Linked DNA regions of Pelodiscus sinensis. The protein of the gene in region 4 purifies or fractionates together with the protein of the main gene of each other region. This does not show direct contact. Links are inferred from orthologs where the notes say so. Each region holds a gene or a part of one and is shown on either strand. Other genes may lie near its edges. The genes, in order: PALS1, RPS28, NF2 and YAP1.

The links.
Region 1: the proteins of YAP1 (region 4) and PALS1 purify together in Homo sapiens (affinity purification with mass spectrometry; 6 studies listed by BioGRID and IntAct, counting the BioPlex papers as one, with this or other methods). This does not show direct contact. The link is inferred for Pelodiscus sinensis from reciprocal best matches to the Homo sapiens genes YAP1 and PALS1.
Region 2: the proteins of YAP1 (region 4) and RPS28 purify together in Homo sapiens (affinity purification with mass spectrometry, with the first as the bait; 3 studies listed by BioGRID). This does not show direct contact. The link is inferred for Pelodiscus sinensis from reciprocal best matches to the Homo sapiens genes YAP1 and RPS28.
Region 3: the proteins of YAP1 (region 4) and NF2 purify together in Homo sapiens (affinity purification with mass spectrometry; 7 studies listed by BioGRID and IntAct, with this or other methods). This does not show direct contact. The link is inferred for Pelodiscus sinensis from reciprocal best matches to the Homo sapiens genes YAP1 and NF2.

Annotation. Positions count from the first base shown.
Region 1 is NC_134714.1:72,830,366-72,838,350, forward strand, and holds the start of PALS1 (protein PALS1), read right to left. Parts: upstream 3,007-7,985; 5' UTR 2,854-3,006; intron 2,604-2,853; exon of another isoform or gene 2,485-2,603; intron 585-2,484; exon of another isoform or gene 513-584; intron 1-512. UniProt on the Homo sapiens protein: Plays a role in tight junction biogenesis and in the establishment of cell polarity in epithelial cells.
Region 2 is NC_134729.1:25,093,906-25,100,756, reverse strand, and holds the start of RPS28 (small ribosomal subunit protein eS28), read right to left. Parts: upstream 3,004-6,851; 5' UTR 2,932-3,003; coding exon 2,893-2,931; intron 2,799-2,892; coding exon 2,751-2,798; intron 2,056-2,750; coding exon 1,933-2,055; 3' UTR 1,920-1,932; intron 1-1,919. Other genes in the region: NDUFA7 (NADH dehydrogenase [ubiquinone] 1 alpha subcomplex subunit 7), read left to right, coding at 3,079-3,129, 3,242-3,291. UniProt on the Homo sapiens protein: Component of the small ribosomal subunit. The ribosome is a large ribonucleoprotein complex responsible for the synthesis of proteins in the cell. Part of the small subunit (SSU) processome, first precursor of the small eukaryotic ribosomal subunit.
Region 3 is NW_027465935.1:549,747-556,800, reverse strand, and holds the start of NF2 (merlin), read right to left. Parts: upstream 3,019-7,054; 5' UTR 2,741-3,018; coding exon 2,627-2,740; intron 901-2,626; exon of another isoform or gene 806-900; coding exon of another isoform or gene 701-805; intron 1-700. Other genes in the region: NIPSNAP1 (protein NipSnap homolog 1), read left to right, coding at 6,999-7,054. UniProt on the Homo sapiens protein: Probable regulator of the Hippo/SWH (Sav/Wts/Hpo) signaling pathway, a signaling pathway that plays a pivotal role in tumor suppression by restricting proliferation and promoting apoptosis.
Region 4 is NC_134711.1:304,437,289-304,444,921, reverse strand, and holds the start of YAP1 (transcriptional coactivator YAP1), read right to left. Parts: upstream 3,021-7,633; 5' UTR 2,562-3,020; coding exon 2,277-2,561; intron 1-2,276. UniProt on the Homo sapiens protein: Transcriptional regulator with dual roles as a coactivator and corepressor. Critical downstream regulatory target in the Hippo signaling pathway, crucial for organ size control and tumor suppression by restricting proliferation and promoting apoptosis.

The DNA.
Region 1 (7,985 bases), on a different chromosome or scaffold from region 4:
CTTCTTGTTCTATCCTCAGAGGCCAAGATTTCTCCCTCCTCCTTATGACACCCTTTTAGATATCTGAAAACTGCTATCATGTCCCCCCTCAATCTTCTCTTTTCTAAACTAAACAAACTGATTGTTTCATATAAGCCGAGGAAAATTTTTAAGTATGCCTAAGTGAAAGTTACTAGCATTTATATTCCCATTGCCTAATATTCTTGACAATGAAACAATCTCCGAAATTATTTTGGCTGAGCTACTGTGCCATATTTATTAAGCTTGACCTCAAAAGTTTAAATAATGGGAAACACCTTTCTTTATAGAGAAAAAACAGCTTTCATCTCTAAGTTTGACAGCAGTTCATGGATTTAACACATTTTTATTTAAATGTTTTAAGAAATAATTTAAGCCTTGGTGTATTTTGCATTGAATTAATATTCCATTTGAAAACAAAGTAAAAAAATATAAAAATCCATTTTTTAAATTATTTAATCAAAATATTTTTAAAACCATTTATATTTACCCACCATGATTTCAGGTGTGCCACATGATGCCCCTTAAAGAGGTCCGATTTTAAGAAAGCGTGGTACATCCACCCTCTGAAAAAAAGCAGACCTTTAAAGTGTCTGAAGTTGCATACACTACAATTGAGGCACTGAAAAATTACTAGTCACTTTTGAAAACCTTGGTTGATGTTCCCAAAGCAGGAGTAACCAAGATGAAATAGCACCATCGCCAGAAACACATTAAATACTAGAACTGTACAAAAATGAATTATGAAGGATTGCAGTTTTGCATTTTCATTCCTAATGGAAGGAGACTGCCATGTCCAAGTCACTATGTAATGCTTTTCAAGAAGCCAGCCAACAAGAACAGTGTCTCAGGAAGATATTTCACTTGTATTCAAAGATTTTTCAATTGTATCAGCTATGTATGAGACACACCTGCTTATCAGAGTTCAGGACAAATTCACAAAGGAGCTCCAATGTGTAACAAAGGCAAAAAAATTGCCCTAGCTACACTGCTCAGGGCTATGAAAAACTTGAGCCCTGTTCAATGTAAGAAGTAGACATAATCACCAGTGTAGACACCACTAGGTTAACAAAAGAATTTTTTTGTTAACCTATCTACAATCGACAGACCATGGTTCAACAACAGGAAAGCTGCAGCACCATAGCTGTGCCATTGTGGAATAGGCATACCCTAAAATCAAAATCAGTAAGAACAGGCAGTTGCAATGCATTCAGATTCAAGATCTTTGACTACCACTCTGACTCTTATCATTCCAGAATTGCTTTACTAGGCTCCAAACAAAAGATTGCCTAGAACATTACATAATGCAATAAAAAGGGACACATGCTTTTACTTCAGAGGTCAAATAAAAAAAATATATAAAAAAATGTTGAGAGCATTTAACAAAGTATTTCCTCAAAGATTTTGGTTATCTTTGGTGACCCTTCAACAAACTGATTTTTAAATTTATCATAAAAATGCACTTGATTTAAAAACTATATAGTATTCATTGTGCATTTAATAGAACTTAAGGATTTACTTGCAATTTTAGTTTAGTTCTAAGCCTCTGCAACAACTTGAAAAATTCACATAAGCATGAACAAAACATTGTCAGTGGGTTCTGGTTTAACAATTAGAAAATATATTTAGAGATACAATAAAATTGCTCATTAACTAGTGCTTTTAAACAATAGTAGTCTCCCTGCTTCAAAGGCACCATTAGGTATGAAATCCAACATTTGCTTCCATCACAGAATTCAAAACTATTGTAACTCACATTTTGAAACTTACATTTTGATGGCTCATTTTAAAATTAAATTGGATATTACAATTTCTCTCACATCCCTGTCATTTGTTTTTATAACCAGATTTTCCTACCTTTAAAAAAATATTACTCTTGTTGACTGGAAACCCACACAAACAGGAAGCAAAAATGAACAGTTTCATCCTTCACTCCCATCTCTTTCAGCTATGTAGCTTTAGTAATTTTGTAAACAAACAAACAAAAAAACCATCTGTATATTCAAAACAGTGAGGATACCTTGTAAGTGACTGATTTGGGTAGAGTTTCTACTTGCTGTCAGCTTTCTAATAAAATCAGCAAGCTGTATTTTGCCACTCTTTCTAAAGTAATATCTCTGGGACAGGAACTGTCTTCCTTGTTGCTTAGGTGTACACTTCCTACTCTGATCCGTCGATTAGCGAGATCCGAAACGTTACCGTAACAGTCTCATCAGTGTAATTCACTGATATTTAGTCAATAGTTTGATCAATGCCTACTGGGCAACCTTGAATGTGTTGGTTGCCAAGCCACTTTAATTTAATCCTGCAAAGCCCCATAAATCTCTACCGAGCAATCTCTTCACAGTAAGATTTCCAAACGCTGGCTTGCCCAACAGATGATGAAGTACGTACAGACCATTATTAAAATAAATACATTCAGAAAGTAAAAGACAACACTCAACACGGGGAGCCTTATTAACGCACCTTTAAAGGCTGAAACTTGCAATGGTTGCACCGGCGAGCAAGCCTTATGTTGGCAAACGCTGCACGATCGGGCCCCTAGTGCGTACAGGGAAGGTGGCGGATACGCAAACGGCAAGGCCCCCCCAGATACACGCACCCCCCCCCCCCCCCGACTGCACAGACACGGGTCACTCCGCAGCTCCGCTGGGACCCTACCAAAGTTCACGAGGAAGGGGGGGAGCAAAATCCGCCCCGCGCCCGCCTCCCGTCCTGGGAAATCCCGAGGCGCAGCAGCAGCAGCGGGGGCTGGGACCAGAGCTCCCCCCGGAACCCAACGCCCCTACCACCCCCCCCAGGGGGAGTCGATCACAAAGTGGGGGGCGGACTCACCTGCCTACTCCTGCTGCCGCCGCTCCGCACGGACGCGCCCAGCAGCGCCTTGTTCTACACCCCTCGCGCCCAGCCCGGAGACACCGGAGACAGCCCCGTCTCGCTCACCCCGCGGAGCTGCGCAGCCGCCCCAGCCACATACCAGGAGACAAACACCTCACGGCAGCGCCCGATCCACCCCCCCAGCCGTGGCCCCACCCCAACGGCCGGCCGCACGCACGCGCCCCGCCCGCCTTCTGCAGACGCACGTCTCTATTGGCTGGAGGGGCTGAGCGCTTGGGGTGCGCGCGCCCGCTTGCTGCCCAGGCGGCTGAGGGACTGGTGCTCGCTGCGGAGGGGCTCGGGGGCGGGGAGGGGTGCGTAGCTCTTCGGCCTACAGCTCCTTCAGCAACGGGCCGCCGGTTGAATTGTCCTTTGCTTTGTCCCTCGCGCCTGCTGCAGGGTTTCGTGCCCCTGCGTCATGCCTCTGCTGCCGCCTGCGTCGTGTTCAGTGGAGCTGGTGAGAAGGGCAGAGTAGCCACAAGCTACGACTCACGGATGATTGTGAGAGACTCCTGCGCAAGGCTGTCTGTGGGACCGGAGCCGCTGGTTAGCTAACACCCACAGTTATACCCCAGCGTGGTCGCCAACCAGCCCAGCCCAAGCCCTGACGGGACAAAGACCAATAAATAAATAAATAAATAAATAAAAGTTCCGACACCAGTTAGTCGAGCACTTTGGCAGCCAGAAGGAAGGGGATACTCTCAAGAGGAGATGACCATTAGTCAGAGAAAGGAGGCACCAGATTATAGGCCAGTGAGGACGTACCAGTTTTGCAGACAGGCACTACCGTTAGAATCCAGCTAATAGAGAAACCCCAGAAGGAAGGGACTAGTGAAGTTGGAAGAGATGCAATGGCACCCAGGTTATGCAAGAGGGACAAGTGCAGGAGACAGTCATGAGCCAGTAGAGGCAACACTCAGATCCCTGTGGATCAGAGAGAACCATCCAGTGGCCAACCTCATAGAGAGGAAGAAGAATGGACTGAGAGACAGTTTGCTACAGCCAGAAACAAGTGACAAAGAGATAGAGATGGGTCACTTATGCTATGGTAACCTATTGAGACTAGATTATCTAAGAGACTACTTAACAAGTGAAGACAAGACTGCAGTTTGGCTATGTGCAGCAATCCCAGGCCAAAAGGACACTGGGTGAGTGCTTGGGCTTCAATTATTTGTTTTAATATTTATATTAAAATATTTGAAAAAAAAGGGAAGATATATCACGATCAATGTATTTTCAGTCAGAAGACCATGTTCCCTGCAGGGACTGTTCTTTGTAGATATCATAAAAGGGATCCAGGCAGCAACTGAGCCACATAGTCAAATCAGTCCACAGGGTTAAATCCATGGCTACGTCTAGACTGGCATAATTTTCCGCAAACGCTTTTAACGGAAAAGTTTTCCGTTAAAAGCATTTGTGGAAAAGAGCATCTAGATTGGCACGGACACTTTTCCGCAAAAAGTGCTTTTTTTGCGGAAAAGCATCCGTGCCAATCTAGACGCACTTTTGCGCAAAAAAGCCCTGATCGCCATTTTTGCGATCGGGGCTTTTTTGCGGAAAACAAAGCTGAGCTGTCAGTGCTTTTGCGGAAATTCAAGCGGCCAGTGTAGACAGCTGGCAAGTTTTTCCGGAAAAGCAGCTGATTTTCCGGAAAAACTGGCCAGTCTAGACACAGCCCATGTGTTCAGTTTAACATGTATTAAGAACAGCCATACAGGGTCAGACTAAAGATCCATCTAGCCCAGTGTTCTGTCTTCCAACAGTGGCCAATATCAGGTACAAATTGGGACTGAACAGAACAGGGACTCTTCAAGTGATCGATCTCCTGTTACCCATTTCCAGCCTCTGACCAACAGTGTTAGACATCATTCCTACCCATCCTGGCTAATAAGTATTAATAGACGTATCCTCCATGAATTTATCTAATTCTTATTTGAACTGTGCTAAAGTCCTTCTCAACATCCTCTGGCAAGGATTTCCACAGGTTGTATGCTGCATCAAGAAATACTTCCTTTGTTTGTTTAAACTTGTTACCTATTAATTTCATTCGGTGACCCCTAGTTCTTATGTTATTGGAGCAAGTAAATAACTTTTCCTTATTCAATTTCTAAACTTAACAAAAACTACTAGCTTTCAAGTAAAAGCAAAACCAACACATTCTTCTCCTATCCCCCATCCCAGTTTTATGTAAGAAAGTGTAAGCTAGCTCTACACTACAATCTCTGATGAGCTGTGATTTGTGATGGGCATGCCTGTGCTGGCAAGAGTACTTAGTATAGACACAGTTATACTGGCAAAACTAAACAGCTTGGCTGTGTCTAGACTGGCCACTTTTCCGGAAAAACTTGCCAGCTGTCTACACTGGCCACTTGAACTTCCGCAAAAGCACTGACGATCTCATGTAAGATTGTCAGTGTTTTTGCGGAAATACTATGCTGCTCCCGTTCGCGCAAAAGTCTTTTTCTGAAAAACTTTTGCGCAAAAGGGCCAGTGTAGACAGCAGAGATTTGTTTTCTGCAAAAAAGTCCCGATCGCGAAAATGGCGATCGGGGCTTTTTTGCGCAAAAGTGCATCTAGATTGCAGAAAAGCATCCGTGGCCAAAAAGTGCTTTTGCGGAAAAGCATCCTGCCAATCTAAACGCGCTTTTCCGAAAAGGCTTTTAACTGAAAACTTTTCCGTTAAAAGCATTTGCGGAAAATCATGCCAGTCTAGACGTAGCCCTTTACTCTTTGCTAATTTAACACTCCTCATTTTTCCTCTATTAACTAATGTATTGGACTGTTTCCCTTTTCCACTCTCAATAAAGAGATGAGTGTCTAAATAAGATTTGGGACAGAAGGGGCACATTATCTTATAATCTTCATATCTTGAGAGTTAGGATAGTGATTAGATAGGAGGTACCAAGGTAGAGGGTGGCTCAGGACACAGTAATGTCAGCAAATGTTTCTTGGACCACCAAAAAAAAAAAAAATCAGCAGACACCTGCCCCTTTAAATCTTTTCTCCTTTGCTGCATGTTCACTGAATGCTTTGTGTAATTTTTCATATAGATGTCCAGCCACTTTTTAGTCTCTTGCCTATACTTACACATTCTGTCCATATTTTCCATGTATGTTTTTTTTCTGAAACCTATATACTCCAGTGTGTCTTCAGATTCAAACCTCTTTTTCGTTTCTTGGCATATAAACTGGCCAGCTAATCCTCCATTAATATGGACCCTGCCAAACAGCGTGTGCACCTTTCCACAGAAGGATTAATAAGCTCTAGTTTCTAGCCTTTTTACATTGTAGATTTTGAGTGCCTTTAAGGCTATGCTCTACCAGTTTGTGTTCCATTTTTTGTTCTGCCATATGTTATAGCTGCACACCAAACCAAGCATTTTCACTTTGATTAGTAGCAGGAGTGCGAGTATCAAATGAAGGGGAAAGGGAAGGCATTTGGAGAATAATGGAATCCAAATTCAGGCTGACTGCAGAACTACTCTGCATTCTTTACAGACAGGGGGAGTAGCAGACTGAGGGTGACCAGTTATGGCAGAGTAGGAAAAGAGGTGGACGTTTCTGCTGGCCTTTTATGATCTAGATCCACATTTTTACAAGCACTACTGGCAGCTATTGTAAGAATCCACAAATTACTTTCTTAAACCCAGATGCTTGCATGAAAGTTGCACAATGGCTAACTGTCTACGTTTAGCAATAAAACACTGCTTACTGGATGCAGAGACTCCATCCTCCCTTAAATCAGAGTCATCCAGCTTGATCACTGTCTTTTGTATCCAAGATTTACACAGGGAGGTCCTATGAGCCCACAAATATGCAGAAGTTCAGCCTTCTGTCTGTGTAGTTCTTCTAGATGGCAGGCATCTTCTTCTTGATGCTGTCCAAGAGCAGGTTCAGTGAGTGTATAGTACACAGCTTTTCACTAAGCAGTCAAATGTGTACACCAGCCTCCAACTTTGTTTTTGTCTTTTCTCTTCCTATAATTATATCTAAGGCTACGTCTACACTGGCCCCTTTTCCGGAAGGGGCATGTAAATTTCATGAGTGGTAGTAGGGAAATGCGCGGGGGATTTAAATATCCCCCGCGGCATTTAAATAAAAATGTCCGTCGCTTTTTTCCGGCTTTTAAAAAAGCCGGAAAAGAGTGTCTACACTGGCCCCGATCCTCCGGAAAAAGTGCCCTTTTCCAGAGGCTCTTATTCCTACGTTGAAGTAGGAATAAGATCCTCCGGAAAAGGGCACTTTTTCCAGAGGATCGGGGCCAGTGTAGACGCTCTTTTCCGGCTTTTTTAAAAGCCGGAAAAAAGCGACGGACATTTTTATTTAAATGCCGCGGGGGATATTTAAATCCCCCGCGCATTTCCCTACTACGACTCATGAAATTTACATGCCCCTTCCGGAAAAGGGGCCAGTGTAGACGTAGCCTTATAAGTGTTTTGATTCTCTGCCTGTATGGATTAGCAGACCATGTTAATTCTGAGATATGTAAGTCTCCAGATATCTAGTGGAAGACCTGTTTGTTTCTTTGGTAACCACGCTGCTCCTTCTGGATCTCAGCTTTGATCCATAACCCTAAGAAAGCATTAATGTTAGCCTTATCCAGCGTGCAGCACATTCATAAGATTCTTGGCAGAGACGTACTTCATTAAATTATCCAAAAAATTGAAAAGTTTTCACCTTCAGCAATTGAAGATGTCCTCTTCATGAATACCTCACCGCAGGATGCAATGTTAGCAACACTATTTGTTTAAGTAAGTTGACCATAGGCAAGTCAGCCCCTAGAGTGGGGGCAAGATACAGCCTGCAGGCCCGATCTGGCCTCCCAAGTCTTTTAATCAGGCCCATCCATCCCACTCACTCCTGTAGGTCAGAGCAGTGCCCCCACAAAGAGGCTAGCTGCTCCCTGTGGTTCTCTGTGCTGCAGGAGCAGCGGGGGAGGATTCCCACACTGCTCCAGCCCCCAGCAAAATCTCTCAGTTCCTATGGGCCAAAAAATCCCCCAGCAAGGAGAGCCACATGGAACAGCCATCTGGGGGCTGCTGATAGGCAGGGAAGCCTGCTTGAGAGTGCTGCTGGTTGAGAGCTGCTTAG
Region 2 (6,851 bases), on a different chromosome or scaffold from region 4:
ACCACACAAAAAGGCTGCAGAGCAACTTGGAGCAAAAGCTGCAGTGGTTAGGTTGCTCCCAGCTACCACCCTTTGCTGCTGCCTGTGTAACCGTGCATGTTAACCCATGAGCCCAGGTTCACTGGTTAACCTTGTGCATCAGGGCTACTTAACTTTGGAAGCCCTGGAGACCACAATGATACAGCATATGCAAAGGGCCGCAACTTAAGTGTGGTTATATACACATGCAAATACCTTTTCTTACATTGATAGGCATGAATACAAAGATTAAGGCAAGACTACACAACATGAAGGCCCTATTTAAGTCAGTTCTGCTGATATTAATAAAATGCAGTATTTACCCAATTTCCACCCATGATAGCACTTTTAACGAGTAACAACGGTCCAGAAACTACTAAAATGCTTAATAGAAGACCATTATATCTACTCGCTGTTGTGGAGTGTGTTCCCAGTGACAGCCACATTCAAAGGATCCCACTGGCAGGCCGTGTGTTGAGCCCTGTGTAAACCCAAACTGCACTGCAGGCCATGGGCTGCATGTTGAGTAGCCCTGGTGTACATGGTTACATTTTCACATCCCTAAAAACTACTAGCTCCGTCCTCTGAGGTGTGCAAAGAGGGGCAACCATCACACTCACATGGTCTATATTATAAAAAGTTACTGTATTTGAATGGAAATTCAATGAACTTGGTTCTTCATGAATTGACAAGCAACAACCATAATTTTTTTTATGGATTTTGCAGTTAGTGTAGAAAGACCAGTCATGGTCACATGTCAACTGCTAACTCAATTCTTCACAGTTGAGTTCGAACACAGTAATCATGGCCAGAGTGCTGCCCCCAACCATGAACAGTCACAGTTATATTTAAGGTTTAATCTGGTGCAACACCACCAAAATGTCTGGAAAGACATCTGCAGTAAAACAATGAGTACACCACGCCCTACAGTTGCCAGAGCAGCCCGTCTACAGCATGCCCCCTGTAGCATTGGAGCAGCCCCTTGCCTTAGGCAGGCAGGGGACTGTTCCAGCCCCCACAATTTAAATGGAACTGGTAAGCAATTTTGGGATGTAATAGCATAGTTGATTAACCAATAAACAAAAGCTTTTAAATTAAAGCTATAAAACTACACATATCCCCCTCCCCCCCCCCCCAATTTTTTTTAGCAGGCAGACTAGCAGCCTGGTTCAGTCCTGCCTTGCAATGAGTTCAGGCCCTATTCCTGCTGTGGCTCTGCATTTAAAGTGTATTAGGAGCCAGGCAGGCAGCCTAGCTCATGCCAAGTCCAGGAGCTCAGACTGCGCCCAGGCAGGAGCTGCTGCCACCCCACACTGCTGCATGGAGTAACAGGCAGCTGGTCTGCAAGGGGATCTGGTTTTTAAACTGACTCCTCTCATGGACCAACTCCTGCCTGGCATCCCACACTGCTACCTTGGATACAGAGGCAGCAGTGCGGAGTGTCAGGGGGCTCCTCAAGAGTGGGCTACACACTGGATGCAGGCCTCACCCCCTGGGACTACAGGATAGTCAAGTAACTAATAAGAATTCATGAGGTTACTCAACTATTCAATTAACTGATATTTAACATCCCTAATAAGCACCACTCGGTTATGTTAAGGGTGATGGATACCAATTATCCTTTCACATCTCTACTCTAGAACAATTTTTTTCCCCCCATTTTCAAAAGAAAGCACAAGAATCAAATACTCAGTGTTAAAATTCTTATGGCCTCAAAGCAAACAGCCCTGGGAACTCTACAGAGGAGTCTCAAAACCCAGACATGTACTTTTGGCTCAGACGGGTGTCTTACCCAGAAGCCCATTTTAAAGAAAAAAAAATGTTCCTGGCTGGGGGTTTAATGTATTTCAAGAGAAGCTTCAACAAGGGCTTGAGGACGGGCTGAAAACTAAATGAGTTACCATGCTGTGCAGATCAGCGCAGTCGCCTTGCTTCACGCTCAGACTCCAGCAGTGTCAGGACATCCCCTTCGCGGACAGGCCCCTTCACATTCCGAATGATGGATCTGCTGGTGTCGTCCATGAATTCAACACGAACCTACCAGGCACAGCGGAGACTCAATAGACGTGCTCTGCGTACTCATATTCCTGCTGCCCCACAGGCTTGGACAAGCTGGATGACGCAGGAGGGGCAGGACAAGGGTGTAGAAAAGGGGTGGGCAATAATTTTACATGGGGGGGGCCACGCACTTCAAAAATTCCTGGTGCCACAGGTGCAAGAGGCAGGGCCAGGACACTTCTGTGCTTCCCCACCCACAGAACCCTATTAGGCTGGGGGGGGGGGGGAAGCATGTGACGTCTCTGCCCCCCCCCCCCAAACCACCAGCTGTTCTGAAGAGCTGGCAGTTCCCTCCAGGCGGACCCTTTGTGGTGGGAGACTTCTTGTGTCTCTCCCCCTCCCCCCCCATCAATCAAGGCCTGGGGGTGGGGGAGCAGGGAAATCCCTCGCTCCCTGCCCCCCCGCGGTGTAAGGGGGTGCCCTGCGAAGAGTCAACGCGGGCAGTGGACTAGGCAGACCGCGCGCTCCCCACCCACAGGCCGGTTGGCGGCAGGGGCCGGGTCCGGCCCGTAGGGGCCCTTTTACCTCCCCCACCTGGGAACATGGGCCCCAAGGCGGCTTAGTGGGGCGGCGCGGGGCGCTACGGAACTCCCCGCCGCTGGACGCCGGCCCGAGTGCGGCCGACACGGGCCGGCTCGGGGGGGGGGGGGGGGGGGCAGGGGGCCCTCGCTCACCTGGGTGCACTGGCCCTGCGAGCCCGTCCGGCCCAGCACCTTGGTCACCTGCAGGGAGAGAGACGCGTCAGCCAGGTACGGTACGGCCCGGCCCCTCCGCCCCCGCCCCCGCCCCCGCCGGCCCGGCCCCCGCCCCGCGCACCCGGGCCAGCTTGATGGGCTGCACGCGACTCGTGTCCATGGCGGCTGTCGCGTATCGAGGGAGCGGGGTGCAGCCCCTCGCGGCTTTATATAACCCCAGATCTCGCGAGACTCCGCGTGCCCTGCGTCGCTCTTTCCCGGCAGGCCCCGCGCGCGCATCCTCCGCTTGCCCTTCGTAGCGACCAAGATGGCGTCTGCTACCCGCCTCATCCAGCGGCTCCGCAACTGGGCGGCCGGGGTAAGGCAGGCGGGGCTGGCGCGTCCCTGTCCCGCGGGCCGGCCCGGGCTCCCTGCCCGCCCCGGGCCCTTCTCCCCGCCCCAGACTGAGACTCGCTCCCCTTCTCTTGCAGCGGGACCTCCAGACCAAGCTCCAGCTTCGCTACACAGAGATCGCCAGCAGGTACGGCGGGGGGGGGCTCTCGGGGCGTGTGCTGTGGAGAGCCCCGGGCCCTGCAGTCCCCCCACCGCAAAGAGGGGGGACCCCCCCAGGGACACAGACTGAGGAAAGAGTCTTCACCAGTGCTCCCCCTCATCTTTTCCATCCAGCTGCAGAACAATTATTTTTATGTGCACTAGGGGTATTGGTGAATGCCCAGTTACACAATGAACCCATACACTTGGGTTTATTGGGTTACATGCACCCCCACCTCCTTCTTAGCTGCCTCTCTATCAGTCTGCTTGTGCTGGCTACCTTGGAGCCCCTCTAGCCCTGCTGCCTCCCATAGAGGCAGCAGCGCAGTGGGAGAGCAGGCGGGAGCTGATACATGCATACCAGTGTCATACCAAAATAAAGAACTCTATAATAATGAGGGATTTTGTTATCCTCATATTGACTAGATACATGTCACCTCAGGAAGAGAAGCAGAGATAAAATTTCTCAATGGCTTAAATGACTGCTTCTTGGAGCAGCTGGTTCAGGAGCCCACAAGGGGAGAGGCAATTCTCCATTTATTTGTGAGTGGAGTTCAGGATCAGGTCTAGGTCCAGGAGATAACCGTTACAGGACCGCTTGGGAATAGTGACCATAATATAATAACATTTAACAGTCCTGTGGTGGGAAGAACACCTCAACAGTCCAGCACTTTGGCATTTAATTTCAAAAAAGGGAATTACACAAAAATGAGGAGGTTAGTTAAACAGAAATTAAAAGGCACAGTGACTAGAGCCAAATCCCTGAAAGCTGCATGGAAACTTTTTAAAGACACCATAATAGAGGCCCAACTTAAATGTATACCCCAAATTAAAAAAAAAAATAGCAAGAGACCTAAAAAAGAGTCACTGTGGCTTAACCACCATGTAAAAGAAGCAGTGAGGGACAAAAAGGTATCCTTCAAGAAGTGGAAGTCCAATCCTAGTGAGATAAATAGAAAGGAACATAAACACTGTTAAATCAAGTGTAAAAATGTAAGAAGAAAAGCAAAAAAATATTTTGAGGAACAGCTAGCCAAAAACTCAAAAAGAAATAGCAAAATGTTTTTAAGTACATTAGAAGCAGGAAGCCTGCTAAAAAAACCAGATGATCGAGATATAAAAAGAGCAATCAAGGACAATAAAGCCATTGCAGAGAAAGTAAATGATTTCTTTGCTTCAGTCTTCACAGCTGAGAATGTTAGGGAGATTCCCAAATCTGCACCGTTCTTTGAGGGTGATGAATCTGAGGAGCTGTCCTGGATTGAAGTGTCATTAGAGGAAGTATTGGAACAGATAGAAAAACTTAAAGTTAACAAATCACCGGGACCGGATGGCATTCATTCAAGGGTTCTAAAAGAACTCAAATGGGAAATTGCTGAACTATTATCTGTGGTTTGTAACCTATCCTTTGAATCAGCTTCCGTACCTAATGACTGGAAGGTAGCCAACATGACACCAATATTTAAAAAGGGCTCTATGGGTGATCCTGGCAATTACAGACCGGTAAGTGTAACTTCAGTATCGGGCAAATTAGTTGAAATAATAGTAAAGAATAAAATTGTCAGGCACGTAGAAGAACATAATTTGTTGGACAAAAATCAACATGGTTTCTGTAAAGGGAAATCATGTCTTACTACTCTATTAGAGTTCTTTGAAGAGGTTAACAAACATGCAGGCAACGGGGATCCAGTAGCTGTAGTATACAGTCAGTCCCCGGGTTACGTACAAGATAGGGACTGTAGGTTTGTTCTTAAGTTGAATCTTAAGTCGGAATTGGCGTCAGCCGCTGCTGAAACTAATCAATTTCAACCGCGGCTGAATCTGGATGCCAGTTCTGACTTACATACAGATTCAACTTAAGAAACAGGGCTTCCTGTAGTCAGCCGCTTGTCAGTTTCAGCAGCGGCTGACTTGGGGGCGCCTGGGGCAGAGCAGCTGGGGTGCTGCTGGGTTGCTCCAGTAGAGCGGCTCCTCGGCGCTACTGGAGCAACCCAGCAGCACCCTAGTTGCTTTGCCCCAGGCGTCCTGATTCAGCCGCTGCTGAAACTGACCAGCAGCGGCTGAATCAGGACGCCTGGGGCAGAGCAGCTGGAGTGCTGCCGGGTTGGTCCGGAGCGGCGCTGCAGGACCAACCCGGCAGCCCCCAGCTGCTCTACCCCAGGGGCAGGCAAGAAAAGCCTGGTTTGCTGGAGGGGGGGGGCACTAGCTGCACCCACCCCCCCAGCAGACCAGAGAGACGGGGGTGGCGGGACCGCCCAAGTCCTCCACGGCTTTGCTCCGTCTCCCTGGACTGCTGACCTGGGAGACGCGGAGCAAAGCCGCAGAGCACGCGGGCAGCGGGACAGTCCAGGCGCGCCGCGGCTGTCCCGCTGCTGGCGTGCTCCAAGGCTTTGCTCCCCGTCTCCCTGGTCTACAGGGAGACGGGGAGCAAAGCCTTGGAGCACACCCGCAGGGGGACAGCTCAAGCGCGCGCCTGGGCAGTCCCGCTGCGGGCGTGCTCCAAGGCTTTGATCCCCATCTCCCTGCAGACCAGGGAGACGGGGAGCAGCTTTTCTCGCCCCGGAGGACGGGGGCAGCGGACCGCGGCGCATCTGGGCATCCCGACGCTCCCATCCTCCGGGGCGAGAAAAGTCCCATTCGTAACTGCGGATCCGACATAAGTCGGATCCGTGTAACTCGGGGACTGCTTGTACTTAGATTTTCAGAAAGCCTTTGACAAGGTCCCTCAGCAAAGGCTCTTGTGTAAATTACATTGTCATGGGATAAGAGGGGAAGGTCCTTTCATGGATTGAGAACTGGTTAAAATATAGGAAACAAAGGGTAGGAATAAATGGTAAATTTTCAGAATGCTGAGGGGTAACTAGTGGTGTTCCCCCAAGGGTCAGTCCTGGGATCAATCCTGTTCAACTTATTCATAAATGATCTGGAGAAAGGGATAAGCAGTGAGGTGGTAAAGTTTGCGGATGATACTAAACTGTTTAAGATAGTGAAGACAGAAGCAGACTGTGAAGAACTTCAAAAAGATCTCACCAAACTGAGTGATTGGGCAACAAAATGGCACATGAAATTTAATGTGGATAAGTGTAAATGCATGTTGGAAAAAATAACCCCAACTATATATACAGTATGATGGGGGCTAATTTGGCTACGACAAATCAGGAAAGAGATCTTGGAGTTATCGTGGACAGTTCTCTGAAAACTTCCACACAGTGTGCAGCGGCAGTCAAAAAGGCAAATGGGATGTTAGGAATTATTAAGAAAGGGATAGAAAATAAGACACGGAATATCTTACTGCCCCTGTATAAAACTATGGTACGGCCACATCTTGAATACTGTGTACAGATGTGGTCTCCTCACCTCAAAAAAGATATTTGGCCTTAGAAAGGATTCAGAAAAGGGCAACTAAAATGATTAGGGGTTTGGAATGGGTCCCATATGAAGAGAGGTTAAAGCGACTGGGACTTTTCAGTTTAGAAAAGAGGAGACTTAGGGGGGATATGATAGAGGTATATAAAATCATGAGTGGTGTGGAGAGGGTGAATAAAGAAA
Region 3 (7,054 bases), on a different chromosome or scaffold from region 4:
ATTGGAATCTAGTCAGAGCTAAGGATGTTAAAGTCCGTTTAATCAACTAATCGAGTAGTCGATGGAATTTCCATCGACTACTCGATTAATCGATAAGGGGAGACCTGCAGAGCCACAGTGGGGTTAGCTCCGGGCCTTGCCTTTTAAAGTCCTGCCTGGCTCTTACTACATTTAAAAGGCAGAGATGCAGCAAGGGACCGGGTGTGTCCCGACTCACTCCTTGTCTCAGATGCTGCGTCTTTACCTCTCCTGCCCCTCCACGAAGACCTCTCCTGCCCCTCTCCTGCCCCTCCCCCTCAAGAAAGAGCCCAGTCCGTCTGTCTGTCTGTCTGCTTGGCCGCCGGAACACATGCAGCTCGGGCTGGCTGGGGCAGATTTCACAATGGCCACCTTAAAAGAGCAATGCCTGTTCTGTTCTTAAAAGGGCAGGGCAATCTTTTTTTCTTTTTCAACAAGTTTTGCTGCAAGTTTTGTTTTTCACCCCCCGCCCTCAGCTCAGTTCCTTTTTTTTTTCTCAACAAGTTTTACTGCTATTTTGGGGAGGGGGGGGAAGGGGCGTGATGCCAAAAAGTTTGGGAACCACTGGACTACAGGGAAAACCCTGGTCCCTCGACCTGAACCCAGAGTAGTGGGCGGGCCCAGATCCCCCCCAACCCTTCCTGCTTCCATGGCAGATTAACGAGGGCGTTACAATGCAGACCTCTGAAAAGTGGCGCCATCTACGAACACAGCTGCCTACCCGGAACAGATGCAGGTGGCAGGGAGTAGATCCAAGAACATTCAAACTGAAACGTGGATGTTCCATCTCTGGCTACAAACACGTTGGTGTCTCCGGAGACACTCTAAATCGATGTTTCTCAACCAGTGGTACAAGGATCCTGAGAGGTACTCGAGAGAAGTCTGGGAGGGGAACATCAACACTACTGAAATTCGGAGAAAACTGAATTTGTGTTTTAAGTTTTACAGCGCTCTCTTTTCTGTAGACTTTTTACGCTGCTCAAATTTGGAGAAAACTGAATTTGCGTTTTAAGTTTTACAGCGCTTTCTTTTCTGTAGACTTTTTACGCTGCTCAAATTTGGAGAAAACTGAATTTGCGTTTTAAGTTTTACAGCGCTTTCTTTTCTGTAGACTTTTTACGCTGCTGAAACTTGGAGAAAACTGAATCGTTGTTTTCAATTTCACAGCGTTTTACTATGGGTGTCCTTATTTGACATCCAAAAATTTCATCGCCTGCCCGGCGACGATTAAATGTTGCAACGGTAGAAAAAAAATTAAGAACATAAGAACGTCCGTACTGGGTCAGACCAAAGGTCCTTCTAGCCCAGTATCCTGTCTGCCGACAGTGGCCAGCGCCAGGTGCCCCAGAGAGGGTGGACCGAAGACAATGATCAAGCGATTTGTCTCCTGCCATCCCTCTCCAGCCTCTGACAAACAGAGGCCAAGGACACCATTGTATCCCCTGGCTAATAGCCTTTTATGGACCTAACCTCCATGAAATTATCTAGCTTCAATTTAAACTCTAATAATAGTCCTAGTCTTCACAGCCTCCTCTGGCGAGGAGTTCCACAGGTTGACTACACGCCGTGTGAAGAACTTTCTTTTATTAGTTTTAAACCTGCTACCCATTAATTTCAATTAGTGTCCTCTAGTTCTTCTATTTAGGGAACTAATAAATAACTTTTCTTTATCGGCCCTCTCTACACCACTCATGATTTTATAGACCTCTATCCTATCCCCCCTCAGTTTCCTCTTTTCGAAACTGAAAAGTCCCAGTCGTTTTAACCTCTCCTCATATGGGACCCGTTCCAAACCCCGAATCATTTTAGTTGCCCTTTTCTGAACCCTTTCCAAGGCCAAAATATCTTTTTTGAGGTGAGGAGACCACATCTGTACCTGTCTGAAATTGTGTGTCGGAAATTTTTTTTAGGGATCGCTCAGTGGTTTGAGCATGGGCCTGCTCAACCCAGGGCTGTGAGTTCAATCCTCACAGAGGCCATTTAGGGATTTGGGGCAAATATTTGTCAAGGATGGTACTTGGTCCTGCTGTGAAGGCAGAGGGCTGGACTCGATGACCTTTCAAGGTCCCTTCCAGTTCTAGGAGATAGGCAATCTCCAGTGATTTAAATTTTATTTATAAAACTGGAGGTATCGGGGATACTTATTTTTTTTTTTTTTGAAGGGGGTACTTTATAAAAAAAAAAAAGTTGAGAGACGCTGCTCTAGAGGGTGTGTCTTTGGCTAGCAACTCCCCATCTCTGGACGCCGGGATGCAGCAGCGCGCAGAAAGTGGATTTTATCGGGAGCACTTTGCTCTGATTTACCAATACGCGGCAAGCCATTAGTGGGCCAACTTTTAGAGGGCTCCAACTACCTACATGTGGCCTGCCTTGATTTCCCCCCGATCCGTCCTCGGGGCCTGTCCCAACCCACTGTGTAGCTGTGGCGTGCTGCGCTTTACCCAGCCGCCGCCACCGTCCGCTCCAGGGGTGGGTGCGTCTCCGTGGCCGGCTCAGGGATCGCTCCACAGTGGAACGAAAGCGGCCCGCCGGGCAGCAGGGTGTCCGGGAACCCCGCGCCGGCAGCGATCCGGAGGCGCTGGCCGTGGTGCTCTGCGGACGCTGTTACCTCGCAGTTGAACTCCATCTCGGCGTCCATGGTCATGATCCGCACCGTGAAGGTTTTCGGCTGCTTTCTCTTCAGGGAGCTGAAACTCATCCGCGACGCGATGGCCCCGGCCATGGTGGGGTGCCGGGAATTAGGGCAAGATCCCACTTCTCCCCTCCAACACGCTGCCCGAGGCCCGGCACCAGGGGCAGGCGGGGGGCGGGGTGAGCTGGGTCTGGTCCCCGGGGGGGCACCCTACCAGCCCCCAGTGGCTCCGGTTCGCCAACGGGGGCGGGGCGAGCGTGCAGCGGGCCTGGCCGGAGTGGGGGGGGGGCAGCCCTGCGAGACCCAGCCCGAGAGGGGGGGCAGTGGGAAGGGAGTGCAGAGGGGCTGACCCAGGGGGCTTATCCCGGGGGGGGGTCTAGCCCTGGGGAGGAAAGGGGGGGGCCTGATGGGGGTGGGAACGGGGGAGGGGGCTATGGGGGGGCTAAAGGGGGGATGGGGAGGGCGGGAGGTTATAGGGGAGGAGGGGGGGAGGGCAGAGGCGGGGGGGCTAAGGGAAGGGCGGGGGCCTATGGGGGAGGGGTTAAGAGGGGGAGGGGAGGAGGGTGGGGGGGATGTAGGGGGAGTAGAGGGGGCCTAGCTCGGGGGGGAGGGTGGGGAGGTGGGGGGAGGGGCGGGGGGCCTAGGACGGAGGGGGACTAAGGGGGGGAGGGGCTGGGGGGTCCTAGCCCGGGGGGAGGGGCGGGCGCTCCGCGGGGGGGGTCTAGCCCGGGGGGGTCTGGGGGGGTCCTAGCCCGGGGGGAGGGGCGGGCGCTCCGCGGGGGGGGGTCTAGCCCGAGGGGGGGGCCTAGCCCGGGGGGGCGGGGCGGGGGAGCTCAGAACCGGGCCCCGCGGTCCCTGCCCACCGAGCGCGGCGGGCCTCAGCTGGCGCAGCCGAACCCCAGCGCGCTCCGCCATTGGCCGCGCCCCCCCCCGGGGGCGGGGCCCCGCCCGTCCGCCCGCCCGCCTCGGCCAATCGCCAGCCCCGCCCGGCCGGCCTGGGCGCGAGCCGCTCCCCGATTGGCCGGCGGCGCTGCCACTCCGCCGCGCGCGCCCCGCCTCCCCAGCAGGCTTGGTTGAGAGGCCGCTGGAGGGGGCGGGCCTGGGCCGGGGAAGGCGTCACGCGGGCTCGCGCGCCCCCTCGCGGCGGCCTGAGCGCCTCCCGGACTCAGGCTCGATGGGCGGGGCCTGGAACTGTCAGGGCGGGGCCTGAGCCGGGCCCTGGAACACTCAGGGCGGGGTCTGAACCTGTGTGGGCGGGGCCTGGAGACATGAGGGCGGGGCCTGGAACACTCAGGGTGGGGCCTGGAGCCATCCGGGCGGGGCTTTAGATGTCAGGGCGGGGCCTGGAGAGGCCAGGGCGGGGTCTGAACCTGTGTGGGCGGGGCCAGGATCCCTCTGGGCGGGGCCTGGAGCAAGCAGGGCGGAGCCTGGAGAGGTCAGGGCGGGGTCTGAACCTGTGTGGGCGGGGTCTGGAGCCATCGGGGCGGGACCCGAGCCCCACTGCAGCACCCAAGCCCTGGCACGTGCCCATCTGCGTCAGTTTCGCTTTGGGCCTGGCGCCCCCAGACCCCACCCAAGGGACAGGGGGCAGGGAAATCCGCCCCCCCCCCCCGGTGCTTTGGCGCCCCCTGGGCTTTGCCTGTCTGCCAGTCGTCCTCCCTCGCCAGCCAATCGCTGCTGTTTCCTCTGCCTCCCCCCCCCCCCACGACCAGGAAGGATCACACCCTAAGAAATAAGTTTAACACCCCCCCATGGGGCCCGCCTCCCCCACGCCAAATCCCTCAGCCCTAGCCCCCTCCTGCAGCCCCACCCCACAGCCCACACCCCCCCAGCCAAAGCCCTCCCCCCTCCCGTAACCCGGCCCACGCTGGTGAAAACCAGTGAGTGGGGGGGGGGAAGCAAGCAAGGAATGGAGGGGGCTGGAGTGAGTGTGGGAGGGCCTTGGAGAAGGTACTGGGGCGGGGCCTCAGGAAAGGGGCGGGGCTTCAGGAAAGGGGCGGGGCCAGGTTGCCTTTTCAGCTGACAGAAAGTTGGCTGCCCTCGCTGGCCTAGCCAGAGCGGAGGCAGGTGATCTGGGGCATTGTACCTATGTGGGGGGGGGATCTAGCTGGTGGGGGGCCGCCCCCAGGAACACCATCCCATGGCCATCTCTGGGGGGGGTGAACCCCCTCTCAGTGTACTCTAGGCAGGTGGCCCAGGCAACAACTGTCTGCAGCCTGACTTGTCCTTCCCTAGAAATCTGACCCAGTCTGCACCCCCCCAGAGTCAGCCTCCTTCTGGCTCACCCTTGCAAGGTAGGGCGCGCAAATGGCCCTTCCCCGTGTAACCCCGAAATCCGCCCCACGCCGCTCCTGCGGCACAGCAAGGGAGCCCCGGCTGGAGGTGACTTGTCGGCTTAGAGGACCTTTGAAAATGAAGAATGCAGACAGCAATGCATCCTCCTGGCCGGCTGCCCGGCGCGTCTGTAGAAGTGGGGGTGGCCCATAAAATCCATATTCCGAATGACTGGAAACCGTGCCTCCTCCTTGCCAAACGGGATTAGCAATGCAGCGACCCGCACGGGGGACAACGTCTGGTTTCCTGCGTCTGGGCCTTTGCGGTGGATTTCAACAACTCCCCTTGTTTTCAGATCTTAGAAATAGCAGGAAGAGGGAGTCAGGGGTGTCCTAATGTAGCTAGAAGCCTTTTTTCCGGAAGGGGGGGTGTCATTGTTGGATATTTAACCAAGAGCGCTTTTCTCCCCGCTGCTTCGTGGGCATTTGAGTGCAGAGCTGGGATACGCTTTTCAGCACCGTGTGAATTCCCGTCCCTTTCCATCTCTGCGCTCATTTCATTTATGCTGATTTCTTTTCAATATTTTGCCCTGCCTCTCATTTAAAATATTCGAGGCCTTTTTTCAATGGGGAGGTCATCATTGGATGTTTAACCAAGAGCGTTTTTCTCCCCGCTGCTTCCTGGGCATTTGAGTGCAGAACCAGGATACGCTTTTCAGCACTGTGTGACTTCCCCTCCCTTTCCATCTCTGTGCCCATTTAATTTATGGTGATTTCTTTACATATTTTTTCCCTGCCTCTTTCATTTAAAATATTCAAGGCCTTTTTTCAATGGGTGGGGGGAGTATTGCTGGATGTTTAACCAAGAGCGCTTTTCTCCCCGCTGCTTCCTGGGCATTTGAGTGCAAAACCAGGATACGCTTTTCAGCACCGTGTGAATTCCCGTCCCTTTCCATCTCTGCGCTCATTTAATTTATGCTGATTTCTTTGAAATATTTTTGCCCTGCCTCTCTCATTTAAAATATTCGAGGCCTTTTTTCAATGGGGAGGTCATTCGTAGATGTTTAACCAAGAGTGTTTTTCTCCCTGCTGCTTCCTGGGCATTTGAGTGCAAAACCAGGATACGCTTTTCGGCACAGGGTGAATTCCCGTCCCTTTCCATCTCTGCGCCCATTTCATTTATGGCAATAGCTTTTCAATATTTTTGCCCAGCCTTTCTTATTTAAGATATTTGAGGCCTTTTTTCAATGGGGAGGTCTTCATTGGATGTTTAACCAAGAGCGTTTTTCTCCCCACACCTTCCTGGGCATTTGAGTGCAGAACCAGGATACGCTTTTCAGCGCCGGGTGAATTCCCGTCCCTTTCCATCTCTGTGCTCGTTTCATTTACGCTGATTTCTTTTTAATATTTTTGCCCCGCCGCTATTATTTAAAATATTCGAGGTGGCTTACACCATTTTTTTAAAAGCCACACTATAAATACAGATCAAATATTGTATACACATGTAGTGACCGGAGATGGGTAGGGTCAACTCCTCCGTGCTCCCCGCACATAGATTGTGTTTTCGCGGGGAGGGGGGAGACTAGAAATGACACAACCGAAAATTCAGCTGCCCTGCTCCATGGCCAAGGCGATTAACCAAGAGGTCCCAGTTCAGGACTGCAGACCAACAGGACCAAGAATGGAACTGGGTCTCTACCCCAAGGAGCGTCCAGGCAGGCGTGAGGGCGCACAGATGGGCCCCCAAAGAGACCCACCCTGCTGCTCCTATAAGGGATGTTCCTCCTTGCAGAGGGACGGGGGCTCTGGGCTCGGAGGCTGGGGCAGCCCGGGTCTGAAATAGGGGGAGATTTTACGCTTCCCTGCCTCGTCCAAGCTTAGCTGCGGCCCCAGGCGTGTGCGCTTTGGGCACGCGGTGCGCACGGAATTGCGCCCCCCGCGCAGGGATCGCGCCCTCGCGCGCCCCTTCTTCGGGCAGGGGGAGCAAAGGGGCGCGGGGGGAGGGGAGTCCCCGCCCGGACCCGCCCCCCCGGCCCGCCCCGCGCAGCGCCCGGCTGCGGCTCCGCAGCGCGAAGATGGCGACGCGGGTGTGCGGGAACCCGGCGCTGCGGCGCCTGCTGCGGGGACCCTG
Region 4 (7,633 bases):
AGAGCATGATTTCCACTGGGTTTTATTTAACTCCATGATTTATTGAAATATATTGTACTAAAACCAGACAGCATCAAGATTTTAGTTACACTGTATGCTCTAACAACATTTGAAATGCACCACACCCAAGCTTTAAAAGTGTATGTTATACAGGTAAGTATTAACAAGGTGTACTTCATATAACACAATTCAAATATGTAATATGCTGAGCTGCATTTACGGTGGCCTTAATATATACTCAACAATATACATCTATCTGAAAATTATTGCTGAATACACAGAAGTTTACCTTTGTGCATAAAACAGCATGATAAAAACGTGTATAGTAAAAATATTTCTAAGAACTGTGCTTTTCCTCAGATCTCAGAGTTCACATGCACTATTACCACCAATTCTAAATGGGACAAACCCTATGCAAATCACCACCAATAATTCGTATTTCTGACAAGTTACAAGAATATAGAAATAACCCATCTCGAAGGCTTTTGTATTTTCTTTGCAGTCCTTTAAAAATTTTGGAAAATGAATTAACTCCTAGGCTGAGAGGATATATGCCAAAGTTTAGCTTTGAGTAAATGTTTTACAACAGTTATAAATCCTGCCAAATCTGAGTTTAATAATGGAAATATTGACAGGCCCTTAACTACAGGAATACCAGATACCTGTGAAATACACAGCACATCTCTTTTTTGACTATCTAGATAAAGTGACACCATCTTATAATATCTTACTTTATAACTTATCAGCTAAATTCATTGCTTAGCAAAAACATACGAGAGGCAGTTTACAGAAATTTAGTAACAGCAGCCTAAACATTAACTTTTAGTCATATCTGTATCAGCATTTTCGTCTTGGCAGAGTCAAATTCCTTAAAGAACAGACTCTGCTACGGACTTATAATGGGGCCAATCCTGCAGATCTTTTTCATCTTGTACTAAAAACTTGCAGGATTGTACCCTGGGGCTGTGTCTACATCGGCGCAATCTTGTGCAAATACTCTTTAACGCAAGGGTTCTTGCATTAAAGTAGTTGCGCAAGAGAGCGTCTACACTGGCATGTGCCTTTGCACAAGAGATGTGCTTTTGCGCAAGAGCATCCTTGCCAGTGTAGACGCTCTCTTGTGCAAGAAAGCTCCGGGCTTTCTTGAGCAAGAAATTCATGTTGCCTATCTACACTGGTGTCTTGCGCAAGAACAGTTGCACAAGAGGGCTTATTCCTGAGCGGGAGCATCATAGTTCTTGCACAAGAAGCACGGATTTCACACATTAGAACGTTCAGTGTTCTTGCGCAAGAACTCCCCGCCAGTGTAGACAGGCAGCATGTTTTTGCATAAAAGTGGCTGCTTTGGCGCAAGATCGTGCCAATGTAGACAAAGCGTGAGTGTTCAGATTACAGGACTGCAGCAGCTAAATTATTTCAATTCAATTTGCAGATATGGTTAATTTACTGATACTTCAGCAAAGTGAAAGGCCTACGACCAGGGACAGAAAAACCCATGGGCACTAGAATTAGTTTCTGCTGTGGGAAATTCAATCCTATGGAGTCCAATAATGAAATGGTGGAAAAACCACATCCAGATTGTTTTTTTTTTTTAAGTTTGGCAACAATTCCTCACTCCCTCTCCACGCAAATAAACAAACTATTTGACTATTACATTAGAGAACCAAATCCTTTTGTTTTTTCGAGTGAAACATTTTTAGGAATAATTTTAGGGCCGTTAATTCTCTCCCCCCCCCCCCCTCCCCACACGCTGGGAAACAAGAGTGCAATTATTGGGCTCCCAAGTAAGGTAGCTGGGGAGTGAGAGCCCCTGGCGGAGACAGGGCCTAATGTGAGTGCAAAAATCAGCTGCTGAGACTGGTAACTCCTGCGCCGAACTAAATGTAAAGTTTCCAAAGTAAAATCCCGAAGGGTCCCAAAAATAGGCACAAAGAAGCGAGCACCCCCGTCATAAAAGGGCAAGGGAGCTGCCCCACAAGACTCCAAGGGGCGAGCTCCCCGGCAAACCCCGAGTGCAAGGGGGCCCTGCCCCCACCCATGAGGGGGCGCTCACTCCTCCCCACGAGTGGGGGCTGAAGAGATCCCACACACGACGGGGGCCGAAGGACAGACCACCCCCTCCCCGCACACAGGAGGAGGAGGGCGTTCCCCGCCCCACACACACAGGAGGAGGAGAAGGGGCGACTGAAGGGGACGCTCTCCGATATCCCCCCCAACACACACGCCCCGGCGCGCCCCGCCCCCACCCACGAGAGGCGGGAGAGTCCCCCCCTCACCTGGCGGGAGTGGGCCTTGGGCTCGGGCGGCTTGAAGAAGGAGTCGGGCAGCTTGCGGAGCCGCATGGGCAGCGTGTGCGGCACGTTGGCGCCTTTGGGGTTCATCACCGCGTTGAAAAGCGCCTCCAGATCGGTCTCCGAGTCGCCCCGCACATGCACGATCTGGTGCCCGGCCGGAGGAGGCCCCGCGCCCGGGGGCTGCCCCGCGCCAGACTGGGCTCCTGGCGGCTGCGGCGCTTGCTGCTGCGCTGAAGGCTGCGCTTGCTGAGGCTGCCCGGGATCCATGACTCCGCGTCCGTACCGGGGCTCAGCGACTCAGATCCCGGGCTCTCCACCCCACATACCCTATTGCCCTGCCGGTGCTCCTTCTGCTGCTCTGCCCCCCACGCCCAGCAGCACCAACGGGCAAAACAAGCCCGACCTAGCAGCAACTTCCCGGAGCCCGGCCCACCCCTCTGTCCCGGCGGCGGAAACTAACTCGCACAACTCGCTAAACAAAAGTTCTGAGATGTGCCCGCCCGAATCACTCCCAGCCAGCTCCGCCCCTCGCGGAGCCCGCCCGCACCGTTTCCTGCAGCCAACTTTTAGTCCTACTGCGCCCGCCCGCTCAGAATCCAGTCACAGCCGGGTACCACTATCACTGGCAGTTCTTTATGCGCCCGTCCGCATAGAATCTGGCAGTCAGCGGCCGCCACCAAGTCGCGAGCAAACTTCCTCTCGCGCAACATCCCGGAGAGCCAGCCCTTTCGCAACCGCCCGCCTCATTTTTTAATCCTCTACTCCCGCCCGCCACGCTGCCCTTCAATGCTGAAGTCCATGCATCGAAAAGTTTAAAATAAATTCCTCCAAACTTCCAGCCTCCTGCTGCGCCCCTCCCCCCGCGACCTCCGCGCTGGAATGGGGAGGGAGAAAGACGCTTTATCCCCAGAACGGGGAGGGGGTCGGCGGAGACTTTTCCCAGCCATGGCCCCCGGGAGAGGGAGGGAGAGGCGAGGGCCTCCTCCCCTGAATGCGGGCGGGAGAAACGTGGCTTCTCACTGCTTCCCATTCTATCCACGGAATTAGATAGAGGTGGGGAGGGGGAATCGGAGAAGAAAGAAATTGGATCTCTGGTCTCCATAGGGGGTGGGGAGAGCTGAAACCCTCCTTCTCACAAGGGAACCTAACCGCACCCTCCAAGTACCACTATGGAGACTAATTTTAACGACTAAAGTGGCGTTTCTGGTAGGGTAAATTATACAGTTACATTCAAAACAGATTTTTCTCTAGTCAGAGCTTACTATGGGGATTGATCACCTTTCTGATATAGAGTCCAATGGAAACAATTCAGTCAATTTAACTTACTATACACCCACTCGAGGTTGATTCAACATGCTGCTTAATACATACCTGTAAGCCTATAACACAACTATTATTTATTAACTAATTATATAAAATAAAATGTTAACATTTTTGAAAAAAGATGGAGAATAACAGTTTTAATGTTTGAGGATTTTGAAACACAACAGGTAACAATGTGGGGGTGGGGAAAGCAAGATTAATGGATCCTTTTGAGTTCTATGCAAGTTACTGCAAGCCGCATTCAGATAATATGATGCACTCACTATGGCCCCAATCCTAGATTTATGCACAATTAGTTTCATTGACTTCTAAGGGGCTAAGTAAAAGTATGTACAAGCATTAGGGTTTGCAGGATCTGAATCTTACAATTTAAAATCAATGTAACAAAGCTTTTAAAAACATTTTATATGTAATTATAATTTGTGAACATAAAACATCCCTTGATAATAATTCAAAAAAACTATGTTAAATGTATATTGTAGGTCACATTTTTGTGTAGGCAGGCAATGTATATTTCATTGAAGGGAATGGAACTATGAAAGTGTTAATTGATTCCATACAGAAAGAAGAGCTCCTCCATTCCATTATACCACTAATATATAGAACTGGAGATTAAGAATAGTCACTTAAAAAATAAGCCTCCACCAAAAGAATGGTACAATACATGAATATGTCGTTTCAGGGGATCCACAATCAAGTAGGCAAATGTCTGTTCATGGCTATTGGTTGAAGGATAGCACATACCATCATCATCCTGAGGAGAGGAAAATTCTAGTATTAACAACAAACTATATATATACTACAATCATTTAATATTAAACAGCCTATTTGAACATTATGAATTCTTATATTCAATTACTCTTATGATCAGTTAATATCTACAAAATGCATTGTGATAATTTTGCAGACAATATGGAGTTAATATTAGAATAGATGGCCATTTTAAGGCACGAATCTTGCAAACATTTGTACAGGTAAATAACTTTATATAATTCAGTAGTTCTGTTTAATATGTAAAGATTAATTTACATAAGTGTTTGCATAATTAGAGACTATATTACAAATGATTAAAGAATAAGGATTTGATCATACAGCCACTGAAGTCAATGGCAAATCTTGTGTTAACTTCAGCAGGGCCATAAATATTTTCTTTTAGGGTATATCTAGACTGCGTGCTTCTTTCAAAAGAAGCTTTTTCTAAAGAATCTTTTGAAAAAGCTTCTTTCAAAAGTGATCATCTAGACAGGCACATGCTCTCTTTCGAAAAAGCCCTATTTGCGGTCAAGAACGCCTTTTTTCAAAAGAGCTCTTTCAAAAAAAGGTATTCTTCCTCCTAAAAAGAGGTTTACTGCTGTTGAAAAAACCACCGCGTCCTTTCAATTTAATTTAGAAAGAATGTGGCGCCAGTCTAGATGCAGATGAAGTTTTTTAGAAAAAAGGCCACTTTTTTCAAAAAAAACCCTGTAGTCTAGACACAGCCATATTGACTGTTTTCCAGTCAGAATTCATTTAGGCATCTGATCACCATCTCCAATATTTACATATTCAAAAATAACTTTCTCTGTATTTACATACCAAGAACTACTGCATGTTAATGAAAGTAATATCTATAGTTTTAAGACTCAAGATAAATATCAGGCTATGTTTGTGAATCAGATTTGATTTCAGAATGTTTTTAAAAAGACTAATGGCAGTCCTTGCTCAGGCAAAACAGACTTCAATTAAAGTTTTGACCTAAAGGCTACAGCAGGCCATCCAAAGTTTACTGGATTAAAAAATTATGTAATATTGTTCAAAACACCGGAACTAGGAAATACAATCTAATCTAAATCAGGCAGAGTTTTCACACTGTGTTATGAATGCCTTTTAAAGTCATTTTAGTTCACTTAGATGTATTTTGTTTTGTTTTTTCATTTATCTGGTTTTAGATAAGAGTAGTACTATCTGTATATTTCAGTGCTTCACCACCATAATATTTGGATGCTTATACACAAATTAAGAATAGCATCAGTTCTATCTGCAGTTCTAAGTTTAAACAGGTTGGCTACGTCTACACTGGTCCCTTCTTCGGAAGGGGCATGCTAATTTTGAACTTGGGAATAGGGAAATCCGCAGGGGGATTTAAATATCCCCCGCGGGATTTAAATAAACATCGCCGACGCTTTTTTCCCGGCTTGGGGAAAAGCCGGAAAAAAGCGTCTAGACTGGCGCGATCCTCCGGAATAAAGCCCTTTTCCGGAGGATCTCTTATTCCTACTTCAAAGTACTTTGAAGTAGGAATAAGAGATCCTCCGGAAAAGGGCTTTATTCCGGAGGATCGCCAGTCTAGACGCTTTTTTCCGGCTTTTCCCCAAGCTGGAAAAAAAGCGGCGGCCACGTTTATTTAAATCCCGCGGGGGATATTTAAATCCCCCTGCGGATTTCCGTATTCCCAAGTTCAAAATTAGCATGCCCCTTCCGAAGAAGGGACCAGTGTAGACGTAGCCGTGGTGTTTGTGAGACACTCAGTTGACTTAGTGATGCTAGAACTGGATCATTTTAACTGCTGTCTTTGAAAAAAATTGAGATAATCTGGTGATGATTTTAGATAGTATATGTGTGACCTACGATATATAATGATACTATTGACCATATCTCCAAAACATGTGTAACAATTTATCAATATATTTTAAGAGTTAGCAAATAAGCTTGTGCTTGTGGTGCCAATTAACACTGCTGTAATTAAGTCTGAGTTAGCATTCAAGAAATGTCTTTATTTAATATCAAATATTTCAGGTTTCCTCATGCTGAAATTTGGTTATATGCAAATCATGTAAACTTCTTAAACTATTCTGAGTTCAGAAACATACAATTACTACAAAAATTCAAGTATTTCCCTCCCCCACTTTCTCTGGACTGCCAAAATCTGTGTTAAAATACATATACACAGGTGTAATGATTCCTAAAATCTAGAATTAGTTTAGAAAAGTCTAAAAAAGTCAGAAGTCTAGAAAAGTCAGAAGATTAAAAATTGAAAAGTAGTTTTGGAACATATTGAGTACCAATTTATCACAGTGCTTTCTGTAATTACATAGTTTCATCACTGACAGTAGTGTTACCAAGTTATCATTATAATGTTTTTGTTCAATATCCATATGGAGCCGTTAGAAGGGTTAGCAAGAAGGCATGGGACGACACAGTGTTTTCATTATACTAATGATTCCAAGCTCTATATCTCTATTTTATCTGATCCAGCCAATTTTTGGTAGAGATTGGGCTAATTGGCTGAACCTCTGTCCAGATGAAAAGGAAATCATGCTTTAAGAATAAGCATTCAGCCAAAATATATAGTGAGGATTATGTTTGCCTCTTTAATTAAGGGTGCATGTCTACCATTTGTTACACCAGTTTTCAGAAGGGGCATTATGTTAGATTCTCAGCTGCTGTTAGATGATCATATAGCAACAGTGACCAAGACAGCTTTCTTTCATCTATGTCTGGCTAAGACATTGCTACTATTTCTTTTGGATGCAGACTTTGCAAGTATGATCCATACCTTTATCACCTCAAGATGAGTTTCCCATATGCACGCTACATAAAACCACCTTAAATCAACTCAGAAATTGAACCTGTTTTTAGGCAGGCTTTTCTCCATGTAGGCCTGGATTTTGGAATTCATCTCCTCCCCCCAGGCTGAAATAACCCATATTGTTGACCTCCAGAATATGCTGCAAAGCCAACTTCTTTTCCTAAACTTTTGAAAATGAAGACTTGTGGTAAGGCCTGTAACTTGAATTACATTTCTCCCCCATCCCTCCATTTGTGGATTTTGAGGAGACCATTGAATTTATTCTTTTTTTATTATGTTGATGGTAACATAATATGGAAAATATGACAAAGGTACCTAGAAGCGTTTTTGAATGTTTTATCTAAACCTAAGAAAACAATAATGTAAATCTCTGAAGCTCATGTGAAACCAATACCAATTCACAGATATGAAAACTGTTAACAAAAATGCTGAGTAATTTTTGGTTATG